Linked DNA regions of Kluyveromyces lactis. The protein of the gene in region 3 purifies or fractionates together with the protein of the main gene of each other region. This does not show direct contact. Links are inferred from orthologs where the notes say so. Each region holds a gene or a part of one and is shown on either strand. Other genes may lie near its edges.

Region 1 (3,712 bases), on a different chromosome or scaffold from region 3:
AACAAGAGACACGCATTGAATAAAGAAGAAATCGTCAGATCTACTAAGGAAAAGTACAAGTTCATGTCTGAAGAAGAAATCGAAGCTCAAAAGAAGAAGGACAAGAAACAAGGTATTGTTAGACAATCTAAAATTATCATGGAAATTAAAGGATCTAGCGGTGGTAGAAGTAGAGGGTATGGTTTTGTTGAATTCAGGGATCATAAAGCTGCGCTAATGTGTCTAAGATGGTTAAATGCTCATGAAGTCAGTAGGGACGAAATCTTAGAAGGACTTACGGATGATGAAAAGAAACAGCTTGATGCAGACAGTTTCAAAAAAAGAAGACTGGTGGTCGAATTTGCTATCGAAAACGCTAACGTTGTGAAGAGAAGAAGAGAAAAGGTCAAAGAATCTAGATTGATATCTTTCAAGAGAAAAAGAGATGATGAAGAGAATAAAGAAGAAGAAAAAGTGGCTCAACCAGTAGAAGAGGAAACAAAATCTGGTCTAAGTAATAATATTAAACAGATTATTGGATCTAAACGTAGAAGAAAGAACAAGGGCCGTTCTTGAATGTAAACAATAGTCAAAGGCAAAAATTCAAAGCATTCCGAAGCAATGAAGTTTCTAGGATATAAAATCTGTATATTAAATAACATGCATTTCAATTATAGAATCATTTTCTCTTTTTCCGTGCTGATCCTCCGGTTGCAGTATTGCTTGTGGGGTTGTTTCCATTACCAGACACAGCAGCTGCAGCGGCAGCTGCCGCTGCTGCTGCCAAGATACGTTTGTTTACACCTAATCCGTTCATGTTCCCATTCTTATTATTATTGTTACCATGCATTGGTTGTTTTTGAGAGTGATTAGCTTGATTATTATCATTGCCGACATTCGTAATGTCGTTATCGTTTGTGTGAATGCGCCTTGGTGGGTATTTGTAGTTGAGACCCTCGAACACATTTTCACAGACAGGAGGGTCGCCGTTGGTGAAATAGACATGGTCTAAAGCGTCGATTGCATCGATTCTCTTGATAGGATCATACTGCAATAGACGGTAAAGAATGTCTAAAGCAGTCTTGTCCTTACCGCCAGCGGTCTGATACCATGCTGTTAAATTGTCACGATATTTTGGCATTTTTGCCAACTGAAGATATTCTGGATAACTGTCGATATTCGGCCATATTTTATGATCTGGCGAACCCATGACTTCCAATATTTTTTGAAACTGATTAGCTTGAAACAGAACACTCTTCTTGGACTCCATCTTGGCCTCTTCACCTTTAAAGATTGGCCTTAAACCGATGAGTTCTGCAAAAATACAACCAACAGCCCAAAGATCTATTGCAGGAGTATAATGTCGAGCTCCAAGTATAAGTTCTGGGGCACGATACCAAATTGTTACAATAACCTTATCACCAGTGTATAAAGTCTGTACCATGTTATTGAATTTTCTCGCTAGACCAAGATCACCGATCTTGACGCAGCCATCAACGGTAACCATAATGTTAGCGGGCTTTAAGTCTCTATGAAGAATCCAGTTCTGATGCAAATAAGAAACACCATCAAGAATTTGCCACATTATTGATTTGAGCATCCTTGGCGGTATTAGTCTCTTTTCAGGATGCGAATGAAAATGGATAATTTGTAAAAGATCATGTTCAGCAAACTCTGAGACCATGTAGATGCTCTTCTTCTCTAGGAATATTTCAACTAATTTCGTTAAATGGTTATTATCCAATTCTCTACAAAGTGACATCTCTCTGCATGCACTTTGTGAGATACCTGTGTAATGCTCGACACCTTCTCTTTCCGTTTTGAACTTCTTAATAGCATAGAACTGAATTTGAGAAGGCTTTCTGGAGTTGTTTGTTATACTCGACGAATTTATCCTTACATTTGTTTCTGATCCACTATTAGACCGTATCTGTGTTGAGTTGCTATTATTTGGAGGTGTGAATCGCTTGTGGGAAGGCTTCCTAAAGTCCATGGTTGTAAGGTTGTCGTTAGCCTCCTGTTGTCTAGTGGATCTGTTGATTGAATTTATATCCAAATTTGAATCAGCACTCACAGAATCCGGAGAATCTAGTATTATTACGTTGTCTCTATTCATACCATTCTGATAATCCCTCGCTTTAGCTTTGTAAACTTTACCATACGTACCAGCTGCAATATACCCGATAATCTCGTACTTTTGTAACACCGAGATTCTTGAACTATCCTTTCGTTGACGGTATGGACCAATAGAGAAAACATTATTACTAGCCATCACAATCGGAGGCTTCGATTGGTTTCCAGCTGGTTTATTGTTATTAAGGATCTGTTGAGAATGGCCCGCTAACATTTCCTGATGTGACAGTTGTTGAGGCCAGCGATTAGTACCCTGGCCTTGGCCGTTATTCATTCGATAATACGACATTTGATATGGATTGGAGTTGTTTTGTTGGTTGCCGTACATTACAGCAGTAAATCGCAGTCTATAAAAAGTGATAGAATGCTGTATCCGCCGAGAGCTTGTCTTTATATTCTCAAAGCGTTCAACGTTTAATCATTTTTCTAATGGATCACTTCGCTTTAAATTCTTATAAAAACGTCAATATAAGAACCATTCGTTGTTCTGTGAAGAAAGAGTCATTAGATAATAAAGTAGCCAACTCTGGCCTGATATGTCGTTGTATCATGAATAAATAGTTAGTCGTAGCTGAATTTATTACTATTATCAAGGATTTGAGACACTAACTGTAAACTAATCGTAGTTGTCTTCATAAATATGATCCATGAAGTTTTATAATAATAAGATGAATGCGAGTCTATATATAAATTAGTCTATTTACATCAGTGCCAATGGAAGATCAGGTTTTAGCTCAACGACGAATTAATGCCCTAAGTTTGGTAAAAGGCATTATTACGAAAGTTCCAACATATGGAGCTGCCCATAAACTGAAAAGTATCCGAGCAGGATACAATACTTTAACAATGGCGTATGCAAGAGCCCCAGATACAACTAATCTATCTCTATCCCAGCCATTATCGTAATCTCCAATTAATTTACCTATACTTTCACCACATTTGTTCAACAAATCCTTGAAATATACTGGCATCTCATATTGGTCAGACAGATCTAAGTTATAAAGCAGTCCCCATAGAGCAAACAAAGGAACGATAGCAGTAATTTCGTGAAGGATTAAGAATGATGTCATTGTAGAAACGGCGCCGGCTTCAGAAAGTTTATCGAAATAATGTTTGTAACGAGGATTACCGTTCAATCTTGTCAGGAATTTGGACTTTTTGATCAGCCGATGCAGCCTATCATCAATTTTCGATGGTTCGACCTTGCTCGAGTTATACCGTATCCCATTGATAAATAATTTCGCCGGGCCTCTCTTTTGGATTATCGAGTACCTATTACCGATTACCATTTTGGAACAGCTAGTGCCAAGCCCTGGCAATGATTGCAGTAATTTCATATTTCTGTGTGTTGGAGTATGTGTATGTCTACAACAAGTACAGCGAGCCCTTCGGAGATCAAACAAAATATTATATAGCAGTGATTACGCCACTATGATGTCTAACAGTCGTTGAATTAATTTATGGTGTGATATCTTTATCGTATTGATAAACCTTCGCATGTCTATGTTCATGCCTGTTGTTAAAAAGAATACTATTTACAAGTGATTTATGTGAAGGTCATGTGATCATAATGCATTAATAACTTCCTCGCAACGATTGC
Region 2 (2,293 bases), on a different chromosome or scaffold from region 3:
GCCTGTCTTGGCCGATTCTTTTCGACAATAACAACCAAATCGGTAAAATCTTATGGATAACTTCTACGGTATCTGTGGGCGTGTACACTTTCATGGAAGCATATTCCTGGTTATCTTGGAATATTTTTGAAGATACTTTACTTAATACCACTGCAAACCAATTAATGAAAAGAGAAGTCACCTTGGAGGCATTTTTAGGTTGGATCCTGCACTTATACATTTTTACTTACAGCCTGCACAGAAATCTTTCCGTTAACCAGTATATGCCCTCTCTATTATTTGCGGTGATCATTCTTTCACAGTTCTCTGTGTTATAGAACCAAGAATATCACAGCGAGCGGTGGTGGCATGACGGGGCATGCGGATGCTATGTTTAGTGATGATGTTGCGTGTCATTATAAAAATAAACGATGTCAGACAATCTGTCTGACATCGTTTCGGAGAAGAAGAAAAGGAAAAGAAGCTAAATATCTACTATATACCACTTGATACATTAGACACTATGTAAAAGTATTCTTACTCGCAATTTGACGTTAACATGTGACCCAATTTCTACCGAAGATTTCAAAATGATTCCTTTCTTATACTAAGCGTGCTTCTGTCTTCGATTCATTAATGCCAATCGTAAAGTCTTGGGTAAGTGTTCTTACTTTTTCTTGCAAAGCGTCCTTCCTTTTTATCGCGTCTATCTTTTCCTTCTCCATTTTGATCAATTGTTTCTGTAGTGAATCTATCCTATGTAGTTGCTCTTGTGCAGATACGTCTACTCCGGGTAGAGAATCTATTAGAGCCATTATCTGCCTTGTTTTAAGTATGATGTCTGTTGTCAATTCATCTATGTTCTTTTCAAATTCCTTTTCCTCAACAATGTGGGCCTGAGGATCTGACATCTGCTCTTCTGAATCGTTACTTGGTTCAAAACCATGGTTCTTATCGACATAATTTACTGCACCGCAAAATTGTTCCATCATTTGGTCCAAACATATTTGTAACTGGGTTAATCTATCGGTCATTTTTGTACACTCTTCCTTGCCTCTACTGGAGCTGGTTTGTCGCAATATTGCTAACTTTCTTTCACCTTCGAATTCGTTTATATAAATCATTGACTATGATTAAGTTACAAATATTTCAGACAACTTCAAAAGTTTGGTTTAAAACGTTTATGACTGAATAATATACGTAATATGAGAAGAAACTGCCACGATTTGGATATTAATAGACGCTAGGAAACCAATGATGACGGAGGATGACATATATCAACTCATTGTTAAGAATCTTGCAACCTATGATTCTCTATTAGAGCAGTTGCAAGCTAGTTTTGAAGAAGGTTACCATCAGTTGAGCAGAGCGAATTATCACAATAAGAACACACTTCGAGGATCATATGGTAAGGATTACTGGGACGAAACTTATACAGGAAACAGGTATATCTCCATTAATGACAAGCACTCTGTTTCGGAGACTGAAGAGCCGTTGCATATTGCCAATGACGAAGAAATCATTCCTGAGAAAGATGAAGCAACCAATGAGAATTTAAAGAAGAGAAAACAAAGAGAAAAACTATTGGCAAAGGTGAAGAAGGATCCTATATATATGTTCGGAGGTGCCCTTTCAATCCCAAGCTCTTTGAAACAATGTCAATTATCTTTCAAAGCTTCGATGCCGGTACTTTATCAACTACTAGAACTTCGACGTACTCTTAATGGTCTACTTGACGCACTAGGGACTCTGTCAAATTCAGCTTAAGAACTTTATAATTGCTATGGGAATGATCTTATATCAGAGTTAATACAAAAGAAAACTATCTGTACAATTGCTAATTTGGAAAGAACAGTTTACTGGAAACGAAAATAACGTTGGATGGCGCCAATTGAAAGACGTACAATGAGTGTATATCTGTACACATGCAGATTGGGGATTAATTATTAATAAATGAACGACGAAGGGTTAATCTGTATCAAAAAGAGAGCTGATTTCAGTAAATGCAATAACGAGTGAAAGATGGGTATATTTTCTTGAGAACAATTGTGAAAGTGAATGGAATGGCCCTGGCCACGGGTGAAGATCATAGAATAGATTTATAGTAAATGTTTGAATTTCTAGCGTAGGAAAACTCACTAGAGCTTTCATCCAATGACGATCCAGCATCACTAGGCTGTAGATAGCATAATAAAACATCATCAACTGACCTTCTGGTTCTTGGAGAGTCTAAGTATTCTGATGGCCTTAAAATTGGTGTCAGAATTGGATCAGAGTTTCTTTTCAATGAGTGCTTTGGTGTAATTGATTTTTT
Region 3 (3,326 bases):
TTAGATGCTAGGGTTCAAAATGTTGCCCAGGGTATCAAACTTGCTCAGGATTTGAAATTATGACTGGTACTGCAAATTCCTGGTCGATATTATATACTCAATAAATACTCTCAATAAGGCAATAAGGATACACTAAACCACCATAGTTTAGCAGATGCAGAGTAGGAGCAACAGCAATCAATACATGGCACTTGCTTCTTCGTCCGTGTAATTTAAAAACGAAAAAAAATAACGACACCAGCAGGATTTGAACCAGCGCGGGCAGAGCCCAACAGATTTCAAGTCTGTCGCCTTAACCACTCGGCCATAGTGCCTAAATTTCTTGAATCATTTATATGAATGTTGCTTAAAAACCTCTTTAAATCAACGCAAATCCACAAATTAATCTTGGGATGAATGAAGCGTATGTCGTCAGCGTTATTTCACCAAAATTTTACTTCCAAAAAATGCTATACTCAAATATTACTACATCATAAAACTGAAGTGAACGTTAATTCTTTTTATATAAGCTTAGATTTCAAGTAGTCTATAAAGGCTTTCCATGCTTGTTCATCATTATCGTTATATGAACAAGTCTGGGCTTTTCCTATATATATATATTCCTCGTTCAGAACAATAGGAATCTGTTTTTCTTTGTCGACGTCCATTTGATCATCATCTTCGGTGTCTGATATTACAGGCTGATCTAAGATCTCCTTCAAAGTGAATTCCGGTATACCAGAATCTCTCAACATCATGGAATCTGTCATACTTGGCCTCCTATTACTTAGCACGCTGGACTTTCTTCTTGGTTTTGGTTGTACACTTCCAGAGTTCGAGGTCGAGATGCTACTGGTAACGTTGTCATGAATAATTAATTTTAAAACTTCTTGGAGAACTATTTTATGCCAATTGTACCACTTCAAAAAATCTGGCAACAATGCTATATCTTCATTGGATATCCTAAACGAATCCATAAGTAACAGATCTGATGTGAGTTCATTCTGTAGTTTAACTGTATGTTTCAAATGCGATTGTTGTGGTAGTTCAAACTTTTTTGGAGTTTCATTCATCTGTATCTCGGTGGTAAGCCACGTTTCTGGGAACGCTACTAGTTCTTCAAATTTGAATACGAGATTAATTCCTTGCGTAGATGCATCAGATGATTCGTTAAGCCAGTCTTTTAGTTTAGAGTCATACACATATTCATAAAAAGATCTATCCGAATTAGGAGCTTTTTCCAAATCCACAGTCATAATCTTAGTTTGACCCTGGGCATCATATATTGATACTCCAAACGTGGAATTTTCATTCATCTTCACTGTAAATGGCAAATGCTGATCACTAATATAGTCTTGTAACATCTTAGGCAGATCAGTATAGTATTTAAATAAATCAAGACTCGTGTGGCCAGATTCGATGTCGATGTTGGAGAAAGAATCCAAGAAAACCAAAAAATTCAAGTTATGATGGAAAGCCTTCAAATCTTGGACGTCAGAAAGTGATGTCAATAGTATATTTTCACCCTTTTCGTTAAAGTAGTTGAATTTATCGAAGTTTGACGCTAAGACCAATTTAACATCTAAAATGGTCTCCATCTCATTCTCATAATCAATATCAATGACCACAATGTTAGATGCAATTGATAACCTTGACTTGGTACTATCCACTTGATCCACAAATGATTCTAATCCTAATGTTTGGCACAGCTTGATAACATTGGGTAGAGTCCGACTTCCTGGTTTATAATTCAAAAGCCTTTCAATCATTTCATCTAGCAATTCCACAAATGCATCAGACATTTTTGATGCTTTTTCCTTTCAATTCAAGACCCCTCAGATCACTACTATGTAACAATAGACTCGGTACGCGATGAATCCTTACTCACCCAATTGTCCTCATGTAATTATCATTGGTACTCATAGCATAGCGCACTTGGTTATTTAATCTTTCGATGTTTCATTAGGAACAATTATTACCCGGATATTCCATAATGTATTACATCGTGTTAAGTGAACGATACCTGGTTTCTAGAGAGAGACAATCAAGAAGTCATTGGTGGGTTGTATCCACCTTTCTACTATCGGTTGAGGAATGTTTGCACTGTGAAATTAAATGTTACAACTGGTGTTGAGAGACACACATTCTCTCAACATCTGGAATTACTTCGACCATTCTTGGCAATTTCTGCACATACACACAAATAACCGTTACTAAGAGAATGATGCAAGAGAGTGTGATTGCTCATGAGCCAGATCCCTCAACATATAGCACCATCCAGGCCGACTAACCGATCAGTTGGTTGAAAGTAGCTTATTCTATATACCATGTCATGTGAACTGTCAGGCGCATATACAAAGATATCATTCCGAAACAGTTAACACACCTCGATAACCTTAATCGATGTGACACATCAACCGATTAAATACACTAGAGCAGAAACAAGGCAGCAAGCAGGCTGCTTACCCTCTTATCAAAGGTCCGTCAAAAGGAAAAATTTTCCGTATTCTCACATTGTCAGGGCCCTGACTGGCTTATCGATTTAGCTTGAACTGAAAAATTTTGATGAGCAAAATGCATATGAAAGAAACAGCAAATGGGATTTAAATACAGAATCATAAATAAGAAAAGGTTATACTCCTACTTTCTGTTAGCACTCAATTGGTTCACTATCTGATCTACCATATTGTCTGGCTTTATTAAATCTTTAGTGGAGTCGAAAAGAAGCAAGTAGAAATCATGTCAGAATTAACACATCCTACGATTGTTGACGGATGGTTCAGAGAAATCTCTGATACCATGTGGCCAGGTCAAGCCATGACTTTGCGTGTGGAAAAGATCTTACACCATGAAAAATCTAAGTACCAAGACGTTTTGGTTTTCAAGTCTACTGATTATGGTAACGTTTTGGTTTTGGATAACGCTATTCAAGTCACCGAGCGTGATGAGTTCTCATACCAGGAGATGATTGCCCATTTGGCATTAAACTCTCACCCAAACCCAAAGAAGGTTTTGGTTATCGGTGGTGGCGATGGCGGTGTCTTGAGAGAAATTGTCAAGCATGATTCCGTCCAAGAAGCTTGGTTATGTGACATTGACGAAGCTGTTATCAGAGTTTCCAAGGAGTACTTACCAGAGATGGCGAAGTCTTATTCCCATCCTAAGGTCAAGACTCATATCGGTGATGGATTCCAATTCTTGAGAGACTACCAAAACACTTTTGACGTTATCATCACTGACTCATCTGACCCGGAAGGTCCAGCCGCCTCTTTGTTCCAACAATCTTACTTCGAATTGTTGAACGGTGCCTTGACTGAGAAAGGTGTCATTTCCACTCAAGCTGAAAG

Evidence for each region.
Region 1: the proteins of MED1 (region 3) and SSN3 purify together in Saccharomyces cerevisiae (affinity purification with mass spectrometry; 3 studies listed by BioGRID, with this or other methods). This does not show direct contact. The link is inferred for Kluyveromyces lactis from reciprocal best matches to the Saccharomyces cerevisiae genes MED1 and SSN3.
Region 2: the proteins of MED1 (region 3) and SRB7 purify together in Saccharomyces cerevisiae (affinity purification with western blotting; 4 studies listed by BioGRID, with this or other methods). This does not show direct contact. The link is inferred for Kluyveromyces lactis from reciprocal best matches to the Saccharomyces cerevisiae genes MED1 and SRB7.

What each region holds. Positions count from the first base shown.
Region 1 is NC_006040.1:1,006,582-1,010,293, forward strand, and holds SSN3 (cyclin-dependent serine/threonine protein kinase SSN3), read right to left. Parts: upstream 2,441-3,712; coding exon 659-2,440; downstream 1-658. Other genes in the region: mRNA-binding ribosome biosynthesis protein NOP4, read left to right, coding at 1-555; MRX11 (Mrx11p), read right to left, coding at 2,847-3,449; isoleucine--tRNA ligase ISM1, read right to left, coding at 3,678-3,712. UniProt on the Saccharomyces cerevisiae protein: Component of the SRB8-11 complex. The SRB8-11 complex is a regulatory module of the Mediator complex which is itself involved in regulation of basal and activated RNA polymerase II-dependent transcription.
Region 2 is NC_006039.1:1,290,737-1,293,029, reverse strand, and holds SRB7 (Srb7p), read right to left. Parts: upstream 1,014-2,293; coding exon 582-1,013; downstream 1-581. Other genes in the region: PMT7 (putative dolichyl-phosphate-mannose--protein mannosyltransferase), read left to right, coding at 1-317; VMA22 (Vma22p), read left to right, coding at 1,234-1,746; GIC2 (Gic2p), read right to left, coding at 2,066-2,293.
Region 3 is NC_006038.1:818,670-821,995, forward strand, and holds MED1 (Med1p), read right to left. Parts: upstream 1,782-3,326; coding exon 501-1,781; downstream 1-500. Other genes in the region: YSA1 (ADP-ribose diphosphatase), read left to right, coding at 1-63; SPE3 (spermidine synthase), read left to right, coding at 2,719-3,326. UniProt on the Saccharomyces cerevisiae protein: Component of the Mediator complex, a coactivator involved in the regulated transcription of nearly all RNA polymerase II-dependent genes.